Linked DNA regions of Lepisosteus oculatus. The protein of the gene in region 1 purifies or fractionates together with the protein of each later gene. This does not show direct contact. Links are inferred from orthologs where the notes say so. Each region holds a gene or a part of one and is shown in the gene's direction. Other genes may lie near its edges.

The links. The genes of interacting proteins can lie anywhere in the genome.
Region 2: the proteins of Na(+)/H(+) exchange regulatory cofactor NHE-RF2 (region 1) and plcb3 purify together in Homo sapiens (co-immunoprecipitation; 3 studies listed by BioGRID and IntAct, with this or other methods). This does not show direct contact. The link is inferred for Lepisosteus oculatus from reciprocal best matches to the Homo sapiens genes NHERF2 and PLCB3.

What each region holds. Positions count from the first base shown.
Region 1 is NC_090714.1:2,507,411-2,514,927, reverse strand, and holds the start of Na(+)/H(+) exchange regulatory cofactor NHE-RF2, read left to right. Parts: upstream 1-4,511; 5' UTR 4,512-5,130; coding exon 5,131-5,337; intron 5,338-7,456; coding exon 7,457-7,517. Other genes in the region: nthl1 (endonuclease III-like protein 1), read left to right, coding at 118-223, 476-644.
Region 2 is NC_090713.1:21,868,035-21,875,027, reverse strand, and holds the start of plcb3 (1-phosphatidylinositol 4,5-bisphosphate phosphodiesterase beta-3), read left to right. Parts: upstream 1-3,974; 5' UTR 3,975-4,567; coding exon 4,568-4,666; intron 4,667-6,993. UniProt on the Homo sapiens protein: Catalyzes the production of the second messenger molecules diacylglycerol (DAG) and inositol 1,4,5-trisphosphate (IP3).

The sequences.
Region 1 (7,517 bases):
ATGATGACTGCCTGTATGTCCCATGACTCATGTTTTCCGGTCCACCTTTATCGTGGGCCCTTAAAGCAAACTCGCGCTTCTCTGTTCCCGACCTGCAAAGGCATCTGTGTCTTCCAGGAGTGGATACACATGTCCATCGGATCGCCAACAGGCTGGGATGGGTGAAGAAAAGCACAAAGACTCCCGAGGAGACCAGAGTCGCATTGGAAGACTGGTTGCCAAGGTAACTGCACAGCTTGCCAGCCACAGCTTGGAGGCCTAGTTACTGTCCCTTATCTGTAAAGGGACAGAAGTGTTCTGTGGGGTTGACAGTTTTGTTCACTACTTTTTGATCACTAAAATAAAAAAATCTGCCAAAGTTTCGTTTTTTGGGTACGCCACAAATTAAATAATGCGATAAGTCTCTGCCACCTTCTCTAGTTGTCTGGAAGCAGTGCTTCTGCCGACATTTACTAATCCTAGTAATCTATTTCAGGGACCTCTGGAGTGAAATCAACTGGCTGTTAGTTGGTTTTGGCCAGCAGGTGTGCCTGCCAATAAACCCGCTGTGCTCAGACTGCCTTAATAAGGACAGCTGCCCCTATGCCAACAGCTACAACAAGAAGAGGAGCCATGAGCCCCCTTCCAAAGACCCCTACTCCTAAAGTCTACTAGCGTACATTTGCCTTTTATCTCAAGACAAGGGATACTCGTGCCAGTTTTCCAAACGTTTTCCTCATTAGCCAATTGTTTCTTTTCATCGGGGACGTGGATTTTGTTTTGATTGCCAATTCAGGAGGGTGGCCCGTGTGGCGCAGTGGTGAGCTCTGCTGTGCGCGGCCCCCGGGGGCCCTGGGTTCAATCCCCGGGGTGCTGTCTGTGTGGAGCTTGCACGTTCTCCCCATGTCCGCGTGGGTTGCCTCTGGGTGCTCTGGTTTCCTGCCTAAGACGTACTGGTGTGTGAATTAGCTTCTGGGAGGACTGGCCCTGGCGTGTGTGTGTGTGTGTGTGTTTGCTTCTGCACGTCCCATCCGAGGAGCATCCCGCCTTGTGCCCATTGCTTGTAGGATAGGCTCCGGCTCCCCTGTGACTTATCCCATATTGACCTATTGATTAGCAGATGGATGAATGTTAGTTTAGTTGAGTATTATAGGGACCAAGATGTATGAGGAATAAAAGTCAATGCATAGAAACCGCAGCAGCAGTTAAACATAAAACTGGATCCCAGTATCACACTGATATGTGGTGTGGGAGGAAACAAAGGCATTTCTTTCACAGAGGTGTCTGACCCAGACACCTGAGGCTTACACTAACTGAAACAGAGGGGTTAACAGAGTCTCAGGGAGGTCAAATACCCACGTCTTCCCTCTCGTCCACTCCTGTAGCACTCTTATAAAGGAGTATTGCCAGTTTCAACTGGGTTGGGCTGCAGGACTGGAGGTGTTTACAGGTGTCTTTTGTTTTGTTTCCTCCGAGAATGTGCCGAAAATCACACTCACTTGGACCCGGGTTTTCATACCAATTGTCCAGGGGACATTGAGGTTTTTAATCATCACAGTTATCTGTAATGGTTTGTTCTCGTTCAGTGTTTCAAGTGCTGCCACAAGACTTTATCTTTATCGAAAAACCTGTAGTGGGGAAAAAGCCAGATGTCATTGGAAACGAAGCTTATGTGTCACATTATAACTCAGAACTCTTTGTTTTGGCTTGAAGAAAACGTTGTATCCAAATGATTCTCCTTGTTCTTTTGGAAATTGTTTGTTTTTTCCACTTATAATTGAAGTGTCTGATAAAAAAAACTATTTGTAGGGAAGTTTGATAAAACATCCTTTCCTTAGAAAATAAACAGTAACAGTCATTTACAGTCCAATGTTCTGTTCCTCTGTAAATATTTTTTCAATCATTCTTTCTACGAAATAAACATTGGAGAGAAACCTGTACTTCACTGATTGCTCCTGGCTTATCTTTGAAAATGTGTCTGTGGTATTTTATTACCAGGCAGTTTTTGTAGTAAATAAGGATAACTTGCTATTACAATAAAAAACACCTACCTTGCTAATTTCTGCACCACATTTGCCAAGATTAAATTGATTACCTCAGTTGTTAAGCCTTTGTTAATTATGTAAGTTGACTATCTGCTAATGTATTCATTTATTATTGATGTATTACTTTTATATTGTTTGTCGTGCTGCATATATTTGTAATGGCACATGGTAACACTTCTACATTCATTTAAACCTCATGCTTTCACATGGACGTTTAAAAGGTCATGCAAATAATCTGATTTAAGAAACGGGGTTGTGGTAGACATTTTTTTAAAGCAAAATTAAAATATGTTAAATAGTTTTGTGAGCTTTGTTAAACATCCCCAGCTTTGCCTTATGGTAAGATTTGATTCTCATTAGTATATCTCCAGACTCCTTGAACCTCAGAATTATTGGTACTTCCGCTGGTTTTGTACGTTTTAAAATATGTTTATAATTATTCGACATGGTGTGAACATCACATTATGATTTTATATGTTAGCTTAACTTTTTACATGACCATCTTCATTAAAAACTGCTTCGGGTGAAAACGGGTAAGCCTTCTGAAAGCAATTTAAGCGTTAACTGCCCATTTATTTTAGTTCCGAAACCACCGTAATATTTTTAAATTGAGCGCGTGGAATGGTAGAGCCACAGAAGACGGTATTTTGACTATCCCTACAATTGTTCTGCCAATTAAAGAGCAGTTTCATTTAATTTGCACAGAATTATGGTATATAAAGTAGGTTACATGTAATTGATGTCTAGATGCAGAAGTACATTAAGGTCTGTAGTGTATGTACAGTATACAACGTGTTATAGTATGGAGGGTTATCATGTCTTCCTTTTAGTTCCTTAAATCAATGTCCGGGAGGGATTTTCAAATAGCTTAACCTGTCCTGAAATTGACTCTTATTCTTGTTCCCCAAATGTTTTCTGTGCGTTTGATTTTTTCACGTGTAGTAACCCTATATCATCTTAAATCTGTTGTGTTACTGTTATGGTTAATTGTTTTATTTTAACGCCTGTGGCCTAGTATCCGCTGAACTAAAGATAAAAAGAAACTGATAAAAAAGTACATGTGCGCCGACCTACCGTAACGTCGACATTTTACGAGAGCGGTTACGCGTGTTTTCCAGCATGTGGCAGTACACCAACGAAAGTGCACACGAGAAAAGTAGCAAAACGTAATAGATGTTGACACTTGAAAACTTCTAGTCGATTCCTTCTGTAAATCGGCATTGCAGACAATAATGTGCTACATGTCTATAGTTTACAATAAATAAAAAAGGTTTTATTTCGAATAATATTTACCAATCTCATTTAAAAATGTTCAACGGGCAAATTGAGATCATTTCATACCAAGTAGATTTCTGAGTTTTGTAGCGACCTAGTAGAATCTTTTAACTTGTCTGGTATGCAAAAAAAAGTCAGTTACTGAGTCAGTTACTAGTTTACCTAAACGAAAAGAGCCGCACCTTTATTTTTCTAGGATGTCTTGAGCGTTGTCTGTTACTCCCCGGCTCAGGAAGCTGCTCTCCCGACAGCCCAGTCATCTCCTCAGGCACGAGTCGCTGACACTTGCCGCACGTTTCCCCGAGACCCGGGTGCAATAACAGCCCAGAGAAAGTGGCACATAGCGAAATTAATTGCTTCAATTAATAACAATAAACGACTTGCTATTATTCGTAAAACAAAATGGCATTTTTCGGTAGAAAAACGCACTCAAAATCGCATTACCTCAGAATACACGTTCTGTACAGATACAGTAACTATAACACAATATCCCATGAAATAGTTTTACAAATATGACTCCTTTTATTCCATGCTGAAAAGAGAAGAAAAAACACAACGTTTCGGCCGTGGAGCCTTCTTCAGGAGGGGCTCCACGGCCGAAACGCTGTGTATTCTTTCTTCTCTTTTCAGCATGGAATAAACCTATTACTTGTTCCTTTGCAGCCTACGCATGCTGATGCAGCTACCCTCATGAAAATATATAGCTCCTGTTTGTTTTATGTGAATTCTTGGGTTATTTTAATGCAATAGTAGTTTACTGGAATATTACACTAAATACAGTAGCTTATTGTAGATAAGCGATCTCAGCTGAACTTATTTGTGTTTTAGCGCTTTTCCTGATCAAAATACAGAAATTATGGTTCTTTCTGTCACGTCACTGGAGAAATGCACCAGCACATTAATAAAATAGTGAACGTGATCGCGAAAAAGAATTTCAGTGCTCGCGCTTTTACGCATGGTCCGAACTTTTTACGTATTTTAAAACCTTTAAAAAACAGAGACTTTACATATAAAAACTGATGTAGAATAAATCCATCTGTAAAAAAAAAGAATCCAAAGGTAAGAAAAGTACCCACAACAAAAGATTTTCAGTTAAGTCTTAAGCCTTTGGTTAGGATAACATCTTTGAAAGGACTGTCATTAGTTCACAGAGTGGTCAGAGAGTGGAACTGATGTCGAGATCTTGTTTTATTTTTTTTTTAAAGCAGCCATTTGGTAGGGCGGTGGTGCTGTTGAGCTGTAACAGATCTAAGCGACACATCTATTTACTTAAACCTTGTCGTGTAATTGAATCCTAATTCCCCAGCTGAGTGTTGCGGATGGAGCACGGAAGGAGCGCTTGAGCTAGTTTCTGTTCATGGCCTGGAGCCTCATGTAGTTCAAAATGACAGCAGCCCAACAAGGGGGAAAACTTAAAAAAACGGAGTCCGTTATGCCGCGAAATCCATCGATTCCGTAAAATAGCGAAGGGAAAAAAAACTTACACACGCAAAACAAACTGGAAACCGGTTACCTGTTGCTGTTCTCTAGACGACCACCACTGGGATTACGCCTCACACTTGTGGTTTGTTATTAAAGAATGTTAAACGCCTGTGGATATACTTTTAACCTAAGGAACTTTCATCCTGTGCGTTTTTCGTTTTTGTGGTCAATGTTTTGAAAATCCCTAGCGATAATCCTCACATTTCGGGTCTTTGGAAAATTATCGGCAGCAAGTTTAAAGGGACTGCGTCGAGCGAGCAGTCGGGCGGACGTGCACTGGGAGAGGACGACAGTAGTCTTCAGGTGGATAACAAAAAGTGAAAACGCAGAAATTGGTCTGGTGACAAACATGACCAAGGAGCTGAAACCGCGGCTTTGTTTCATGACGAAAGGGGAGAATGGGTATGGTTTTCATTTGCACGGCGAGAAAGGGAAAAGTGGCCAGTACATACGCAAAGTGGAGCTGGGCTCACCCGCGGAGGCTGCTGGGCTCCGAGCAGGGGACCGGGTGGTGGAGGTGAACGGTGACAACGTGGAAAAAGAAACGCATCACCAAGTAAGTGCCGAAACACTATCTGAACATCCCGTTGCCCCCACAGCCTTTGGTTAGACCTTTCTTCGGTCGTATTTTGTGACGGTGATGAAGCAGCCAATGTTCCCAGAAACTGTGCCCAGACCCCATCTTTTTTGCGCTAATGCCGTCATTTCTTTGCCCAAATAACGTTGGAAATTGCAGTACCGTGCGCGTATCAAGACCTGCCCGGTGGTATGAACTGGAAAGCTGAGGGCAGGTTAGATCTGACCAACCTTTTTAACCGAACTCTGGGTTTTATTGGCACTGCATTTAGCTTGGTGTGCCCTTTAAAAAGCGCTTGAACACCCGAAGTTACTGTAAATTGAAACCTTTCTGCTTGGTTTATTGGGAATGCCCTAGGTCCTAGAGAATTCAGTGGAAGCTTTCGGTTCTTAAATAAATGTCATCATATGACATTGTTTATATTATTTGAGTTCGGTTTCCTCGTAACAAACGAAATGCTTTATTCTTTCAATTTCTACGCATAGCCAAGGAAGTTATTGTGAAGACAAATGACTGATGCCACAACAAACGGGTGTTTGTTTGCTCCGTGCAGTTGGCCGTACCAGCACAGAACCATTGTGTGCAGGGAGAAATTGTCTCCAAGGAAGGGACAGTTCAGCACATAAAATAATCGTTCATGTAGTAGTTCTCAGGACGTAACTCCTCAAATACTTTGTAGCTTCATTGTCAAAATGTTTTGTTTTGCCACATAGAAAAAGTGTTACATTTTTTTAACACCTGTATGGATTACTGAAAGGTCATATACGTTGTTGTATATCGTTCAGCATTTTTAGTAGTATTTTAGTTTAACAACTGGTGCCATTCTCATTTATCAATTGGAGTGCTTGTGCTGTGCTTTTTTTGTCCAACGAAAAAACTTTAGTTTCCAATCAGTCTTGCTTTGCTCCCTCTTTTGCTCTGGGACTCGGTTTGCAGGGAAGAGATTTTCTCCTGTCTCTGTTTAATCACAAAATAAAAATGCAGAAAATAATTATAACTTAATGAGCCCTTAGTCTGACAAATTAGGTGAAAAATTAGTATGCAATGATTACATTATAGGTGAATACATTACATTTATTTGTCTGTTAGTATTGTTAGAAAGCTGTATTAGCCATCTTGGCACTCAAGGTGAGTCTACAGGAATCTTAGTGAACTGACCAGCTCATTAAGAAACACAAAAAAATAATAATTCTGTTTTCTTTAGCAGGTGAGACATTTTTTTTTTATTGTCAGTAATGACAAGGATAGTCTGAACTTTGAAATCCCAAAAAGTCTTTGCACATTAAAGAAGGGTGTTTTGTTAAATGAGCTATTAGATGCTTCATATTAAAGTCCTCACCAAACCCCATGAATCAAAGACAAGAGCTGGCACTCTCCTAGGGAATAGAGTCACTCCATGGGAGTATTTACATTCTTTCCTCTCTCTGCTTTGTGTTTTTGGAGTCATTCACCCTTGTGAGGGGAGATAAGGGCCTATTAAACTGGGGATTAACAGCTTCCAAGTGGAGACTCAATAAATTCAATTGGTGGGTTCAATCAAGAATGTTACTGCTCCTTGTGGCAGACTGTGGCATACCTACAGTAGACTTCATTTCTTTGTGGCTTTCCATACATGTCATCTGGTTTACTTTAATCAGTTTCAAAGTTCGTTTTACTCTCAGATCCTTATTTTGTCAGGGTGTAAACTGCCTCCTCTGTAGTAAACAAATCCAAAACAGACCCTTGGTCTTTTTTATTTTGCTGGAATGTGCAATTTGGATGTTCTGTCAGAACCAAAGCAGGAATTATTGTTGTTTTTATAGTTGTATCAGATTCTGGCCAACTTCTAAACCTAAATATTCCACATTTTGTCCCATAAGGAGATACCGACATAAGAATGCTTTGTCAGCAATGTTGACACATTTTCAGCTCGGAGCGAAAATGGTCCACTGCTCCTTATGCTGTATTTTTGGTGAGCTTTCCATATTTGTCTGCAGAGCGGAAGGAGGACTTTTCCTTGTACCTAATTTAATGATATTTAATTATTTAATCATGTAAAACCCCGGTGGGAGTGGGCCTCGCAGCAGCCTCAGCCCCCGCTGTCCTCCTTCGGCTGCAGGTGGTGCAGAGAATCAAGGCCCTGGAGAGCGAGACGCGGCTGCTGGTGGTGGACAGAGAAA
Region 2 (6,993 bases), on another chromosome or scaffold:
GTGTAGTAGTGTGCCAGTGTGTGTGAAGCAGTGTGATTTTAGCTGTGTGTGAAGCAGTGTGATTTTGGCAGTGTGTGTAGTGGTAGTGTGCCAGTGTGATTGTAGCAGTGTTTGTGTCAATGTGTGTGTAGTAGTGTGCCAGTGTGTGTGAAGCAGTGTGATTTTAGCTGTGTGTGAAGCAGTGTGATTTTGGCAGTGTGTGTAGTGGTAGTGTGCCAGTGTGATTGTAGCAGTGTTTGTGTCAATGTGTGTGTAGTAGTGTGCCAGTGTGTGTGAAGCAGTGTGATTTTGGCAGTGTGTGTAGTAGTAGTGTGCCAGTGTGATTGTAGCAGTGTGATTTTAGCTGTGTGTGAAGCAGTGTGATTTTGGCAGTGTGTGTAGTAGTAGTGTGCCAGTGTGATTGTAGCAGTGTTTGTGTCAATGTGTGTGTAGTAGTGTGCCAGTGTGTGTGAAGCAGTGTGATTGTAGCTGTGTGTGTGTGTGTAGCAGTGTGTGCCAGCGTGTCTGAGCCCAGTGCGGGTCACAATGTGTCTTTGTGCGCCAGCCCCACCCCCCTGCTGCTCTCTGACAAGAACACTCTCCCACTGTCTCAGGCTTCCTGGACAGACTGCAATCAGGAGAGGATCCTCGTCTCTGTCTGCCCCTCCTCTGCACTCTGGGTGTCCTAGTGAGAGTCTCTCTTTCTCCTTCTCTTCCCTCTGTCCTCCCTCCTCTCCCCCTTTCTCCTCTCCCCCCCCCTCTCTCTGTTCCCTGGCTGCTGGCTGGAGTTCAGAGTTCGATCTTCCAGCCTCTGCCTCCTGCTCTCTAACCTTTACCCAGGCAGTCAGGGACAGCTGTAAACCACTCTGCTCTGGGACACACGGAGATAGGGGAGAGCTGTGTGTGTGGGAGGCAATGTACAATATCACTGTGTGTGTGTGAGGGAGAGAGAGAGGTGATGGCTGTGATCCTGTATGACTGCGTGTGAGAGAGGTGATGTTCCGTGATCCTGTATGACTGTGTGTGAGAGAGGTGATGTTCCGTGATCCTGTATGACTGCGTGTGAGAGAGGTGATGGCTGTGATCCTGTATGACTGCGTGTGAGAGAGGTGATGTTCCGTGATCCTGTATGACTGCGTGTGAGAGAGGTGATGTTCTGTGATCCTGTATGACTGCGTGTGAGAGAGGTGATGGGCTGTGATCCTGTATGACTGCGTGTGAGAGAGGTGATGTTCCGTGATCCTGTATGACTGCGTGTGAGAGAGGTGATGTTCCGTGATCCTGTATGACTGCGTGTGAGAGAGGTGATGGGCTGTGATCCTGTATGACTGCGTGTGAGAGAGGTGATGGGCTGTGATCCTGTATGACTGCGTGTGAGAGAGGTGATGGGCTGTGATCCTGTATGACTGTGTGAGAGAGAGGTGATGTTCTGTGATCCTGTATGACTGTGTGTGAGAGAGGTGATGTTCCGTGATCCTGTATGACTGCGTGTGAGAGAGGTGATGTTCCGTGATCCTGTATGACTGCGTGTGAGAGAGGTGATGGCTGTGATCCTGTATGACTGCGTGTGAGAGAGGTGATGTTCTGTGATCCTGTATGACTGCGTGTGAGAGAGGTGATGTTCCGTGATCCTGTATGACTGCGTGTGAGAGAGGTGATGGGCTGTGATCCTGTATGACTGCGTGTGAGAGAGGTGATGTTCCGTGATCCTGTATGACTGCGTGTGAGAGAGGTGATGGCTGTGATCCTGTATGACTGCGTGTGAGAGAGGTGATGTTCTGTGATCCTGTATGACTGCGTGTGAGAGAGGTGATGTTCTGTGATCCTGTATGACTGCGTGTGAGAGAGGTGATGTTCCGTGATCCTGTATGACTGCGTGTGAGAGAGGTGATGGGCTGTGATCCTGTATGACTGCGTGTGAGAGAGGTGATGGGCTGTGATCCTGTATGACTGCGTGTGAGAGAGGTGATGGGCTGTGATCCTGTATGACTGCGTGTGAGAGAGGTGATGGGCTGTGATCCTGTATGACTGCGTGTGAGAGAGGTGATGGCTGTGATCCTGTATGACTGCATGTGAGAGAGGTGATGTTCTGTGATCCTGTATGACTGCGTGTGAGAGAGGTGATGGGCTGTGATCCTGTATGACTGTGTGAGAGAGAGGTGATGTTCTGTGATCCTGTATGACTGTGTGTGAGAGAGGTGATGTTCCGTGATCCTGTATGACTGCGTGTGAGAGAGGTGATGGGCTGTGGTCCTGTATGACTGCGTGTGAGAGAGGTGATGTTCTGTGATCCTGTATGACTGCGTGTGAGAGAGGTGATGGGCTGTGGTCCTGTATGACTGCGTGTGAGAGAGGTGATGTTCCGTGATCCTGTATGACTGCGTGTGAGAGAGGTGATGGGCTGTGATCCTGTATGACTGCGTGTGAGAGAGGTGATGGCTGTGATCCTGTATGACTGCGTGTGAGAGAGGTGATGTTCTGTGATCCTGTATGACTGCGTGTGAGAGAGGTGATGGCTGTGATCCTGTATGACTGCGTGTGAGAGAGGTGATGTTCTGTGATCCTGTATGACTGCGTGTGAGAGAGGTGATGGGCTGTGATCCTGTATGACTGTGTGAGAGAGAGGTGATGTTCTGTGATCCTGTATGACTGTGTGTGAGAGAGGTGATGTTCCGTGATCCTGTATGACTGCGTGTGAGAGAGGTGATGGGCTGTGGTCCTGTATGACTGCGTGTGAGAGAGGTGATGGGCTGTGATCCTGTATGACTGCGTGTGAGAGAGGTGATGTTCCGTGATCCTGTATGACTGTGTGTGAGAGAGGTGATGTTCCGTGGTCCTGTATGACTGCGTGTGAGAGAGGTGATGGGCTGTGATCCTGTATGACTGTGTGTGAGAGATGCGCTACAAGGTTTCTACACAGTTACAGAGTGTGAGGGTCACTACCAGCAGGAGAGTGACTGCAGTGGCAGGGTGTACATGCTGAAGCAGGCTGTATGAATCTGCTCTTCCCTTCTCTCACTCACTTCATTTGACACAAACCCTGGTAAAAAAAAAGTCCATCAGCCTCTGTTTAAACTGAGCTGTCAAATTATAACAAAAATGCTCCTTGAAACTCCCCATCTGGACTGTGTTGGACTTAACTAAATATGGTGTTTCCTTATCCAGTAAAGAAAGTCCAGGACGAGCCCCTACGGCCCAGAGACCCCAGTTCATGGTCCCAGTCCAAGATGAGCCCCTACAGCCCAGAGACCCCAGTTCAGGGTCCCAGTCCAAGATGAGCCCCTACAGCCCAGAGACCCCGGTTCAGGGTCCCAGTCCAAGATGAGCCCCTACAGCCCAGAGACCCCAGTTCGGGGTCCCAGTCCAAGATGAGCCCCTACAGCCCAGAGACCCCAGTTCAAGGTCCCAGTCTGGGACGACCCCCGACACCCAGGAGACCCCAGTTCAGGGTCCCAGTCCAGAGATTATTGCTAGTATACGGCAAGACACTATTAATGTCCATCTGCCAGGCTTGTAAAATGCCCACAGTGAAATGGTTTACTTGTGTTTTTTTTTATCTCCACAGAGTGTCCAGGAGAACAAATCGCCAGGGGGGCAGTACCGGCGAGACCGGACAACAACCACGTCCACAAGGTGAAAGGCAGGCGGGACGGGCACAACACCGAGCTACAAAGAGGAGGAGACACGGACACCACAGAGTTCCGTTTTTCTGCCCGAGCTTGCGCGGGGAGAGAGAATAAGGAGGGGGGGATCTTGTGTGCCTCATACAGGGGAAGAGGGAATTCATTTTTATTTTTTGGGGGGGGGAATTGGGAGTTTTTAGGGCGTGCTCCTACCAGCGCGGCGACGAAAGCAGGAACTAGATATAACTCACGGCCACTCGCCGGTTAAAAATGGCAGCCCGGCGCCCGAGGGGTTAAGACGGCTTGTCCGGGGAGCCGGACGACATTCCAGGCTGGGAGCGCCGAGTAATCCCGTGTAAGGGGGAGAGGGAGATGGGGGGGTCTGTGCGGGTTGCCGATGACAATTCCCCGCTGCTCCTTTAAGACGTGCCCGACTTTTAATCTTCCCAGCGTTTATTATTTAAGTACTCGAGAGAAAGACCCGCCTCCGGAGGACTGAGGGGAGGGAGGGAGAGGAAAAAAAAATACCCAACATCTTAGGCTTGAACTGCGATTGACAGCGATAATTGAACAACTTCTTCAGCAGAGGCGAAGGAAGCTCCCTCCCTCCCTCCGCCTGTCCACACTCACTCACTCTCTCTCTCTCTCCAGAAACATGAGCGACAGAAGGCGAAGCGTTTCAAAGAAGGAGGAAAAACACTGAAAAAAAAAAAACGGAGTTGAGGAGAGCCGGAGACGGAGAGGAAGCAGAAAGTTTTCCAGGCGCGTCGGGGTGGCGGTTCGGCGCTCGTCCGGAGCTCCGGGAAAGGAACGCGGAAAGAAACGCAAAAGCAAAACGGAGGAGAGAGAGAAAGCGGAGCAGCAGCAGCCCCGAACCGGGTCCCCGTCCCTTCCCTGACCCCGACGCGGAGCTGTAGCGGCGGGGAGACCGAGCGGCACCCCCACACCGCCCGCGGCGCGGCGAGATGGCCGGGGCGCGACCGGGAGTTCACGCTCTGCAGCTCAAGCCGGTCTCGGTGCACGAAACTCTGAGGAAAGGGAGCAAGTTCATCAAGTGGGAAGAGGTAAGAAGACCCACCACCACTACCACCACCACCACCCTGGGCCCTGGCAAAGACGCGCGTCGGTTTATTTCTGGATGATTATGATTATTGTCTTTGCGAGCGCAGGTCGTGTTTCCGTCCAGGTTGGCCGCGCTCAGGCGGTAGACCTGCAGGGCTGGTGTCGGCGGAGGGGTAGGAAAGCGAGAGGAGTCCCCCGCTCCCCGCTTCTCCTAGTGTTTTAATTAATCTGGCGGGGGGGGTGTCTGTGGAGGATTTTTTGTCTCAGGGAGACGAGGGACGCGAGAAATATGGGGTTGGGGTGGGGAGGAGGTCGGTCGGTCGGTCGGCGTTGCGATTCGAGAAGCGAAAGTGTGCCGTGGGTGGGAAGGAGTGGAAAACAAACAAAAAAAGTCCTAACTGGGCCCTTCGTTCAAGACCAATGTCACCGCGTCGACGAGGGGTTGATGGGGGGGGGGTGTGTATACATGTCCTTAGTGGCAAAGTTGTCAGGTTGTTTCGTGTTGCGTGGTTGCCCGGCTGTCTTCCGCGAACACCCCTCGGCAGAGAGAAAACAAACTCGCCTTGCGAAGGTGTGTCGACATTGTGTGTGTGTGTGGGAGGGGGGCCCAGCTTTGTCAGGGCTGCTGTAGTGACTGAACCGAGGGGGGTAACGGACGGGGTTTTCGGGGCCTCGCCCGGCTTTGTGATGGTCGGGTTCAGGGGGACGCCGGGAGGGCGCGCAGGGGTTCCCGGGTGGGACACGAACCGCTGGCGGGGCTCGGGACTTCCCTTCCGCTGCTGCTGCCGCCGCCGCCGCCACGGACGTGCTGAAGGTGGCCTGCACGAGCCAGGAGGAGAGAGTCTCCCACTACATGGCGGTCCGGTCCGGTCCACTCCAGGTGTGACAGTGCTGTCAGTCAGACTCCCAGTGCGCAGCAGTCTGATCCGCTCCAGGTGTGACAGTGCTGTCAGTCAGACTCCAGGTGCGCAGCAGTCTGATCCGCTCCAGGTGTGACAGTGCAGTCAGTCAGACTCCCAGTGTGCAGCAGTCTGATCTGATCCAGGTGTGACAGTGCAGTCAGTCAGACTCCAGGTGCGCAGCAGTCTGATCTGCTCCAGGTGTGACAGTGCAGTCAGTCAGACTCCCAGTGTGCAGCAGTCTGATCCGCTCCAGGTGTGACAGTGCTGTCAGTCAGACTCCCGGTGCACAGCAGTCTGATCCGCTCCAGGTGTGACAGTGCAGTCAGTCAGACTCCCGGTGCGCAGCAGTCTGATCCGCTCCAGGTGTGACAGTGCAGTCAGTCAGACTCCCGGTGCGCAGCAGTCTGATCCGCTCCAGGTGTGACAGTGCTGTCAGTCAGACTCCCAGTGCGCAGCAGTCTGATCCGCTCCAGGTGTGACAGTGCTGTCAGACTCCCAGTGTGCAGCAGTCTGATCCGCTCCAGATATGACAGTGCTGTCAGACAGACTCCCAGTGCGCAGCAGTCTGATCCGCTCCAGGTGTGACAGTGCTGTCAGTCAGACTCCAGGTGCGCAGCAGTCTGATCCGCTCCAGGTGTGACAGTGTTGTCAGTCAGACTCCAGGTGCGCAGCAGTCTGATCCGCTCCAGGTGTGACAGTGCAGTCAGTCAGACTCCCAGTCTGCAGCAGTCTGATCTGCTCCAGGTGTGACAGTGCAGTCAGTCAGACTCCAGGTGTGCAGCAGTCTGATCTGCTCCAGGCGTGACAGTGCAGTCAGTCAGACTCCCAGTGTGCAGCAGTCTGATCTGCTCCAGGTGTGACAGTGCAGTCAGTCAGACTCCCAGTGTGCAGCAGTCTGATCTGCTCCAGGTGTGACAGTGCAGTCAGTCAGACTCCCAGTGTGCAGCAGTCTGATCTGCTCCAGGTGTGACAGTGCAGTCAGTCAGACTCCAGGTGCGCAGCAGTCTGAGCTGCTCAGGACTGACAGGGCTGTTGGTTGAAGTCTGACTGGGAGCCAGCAGGGTTTCTCCACTTGTTTTGTCATCCTTCTGACCAGAATGGCCCGGTGGTCCGTACGGTACAGTGCTGGTTTCTTTGGGCTCTTCCCGGTCAGCCGTGTGGACAGAGTGCATCTCCGGCGACGTGCGAACGAGCCTCATCACCGTCAGTGTGATTTCATTGCCTCTCACCTGGCCTGGTGTGTATCCAGGGAAAACGCGCAGCACACAGTGGCCTGTCCCTTATATGGGTTTTCTTTCTGGTGTGTCTGAATCGTCCCTCTCTGCGTTTGTTTACCCTGTGAAGGACTGGCGTCCTGACTGGGGGTGTGTGTGTGTCTCATGTGATGGACAGGTGTCCTGACAGGGAGTGTGTGTCCTGTATCCTGT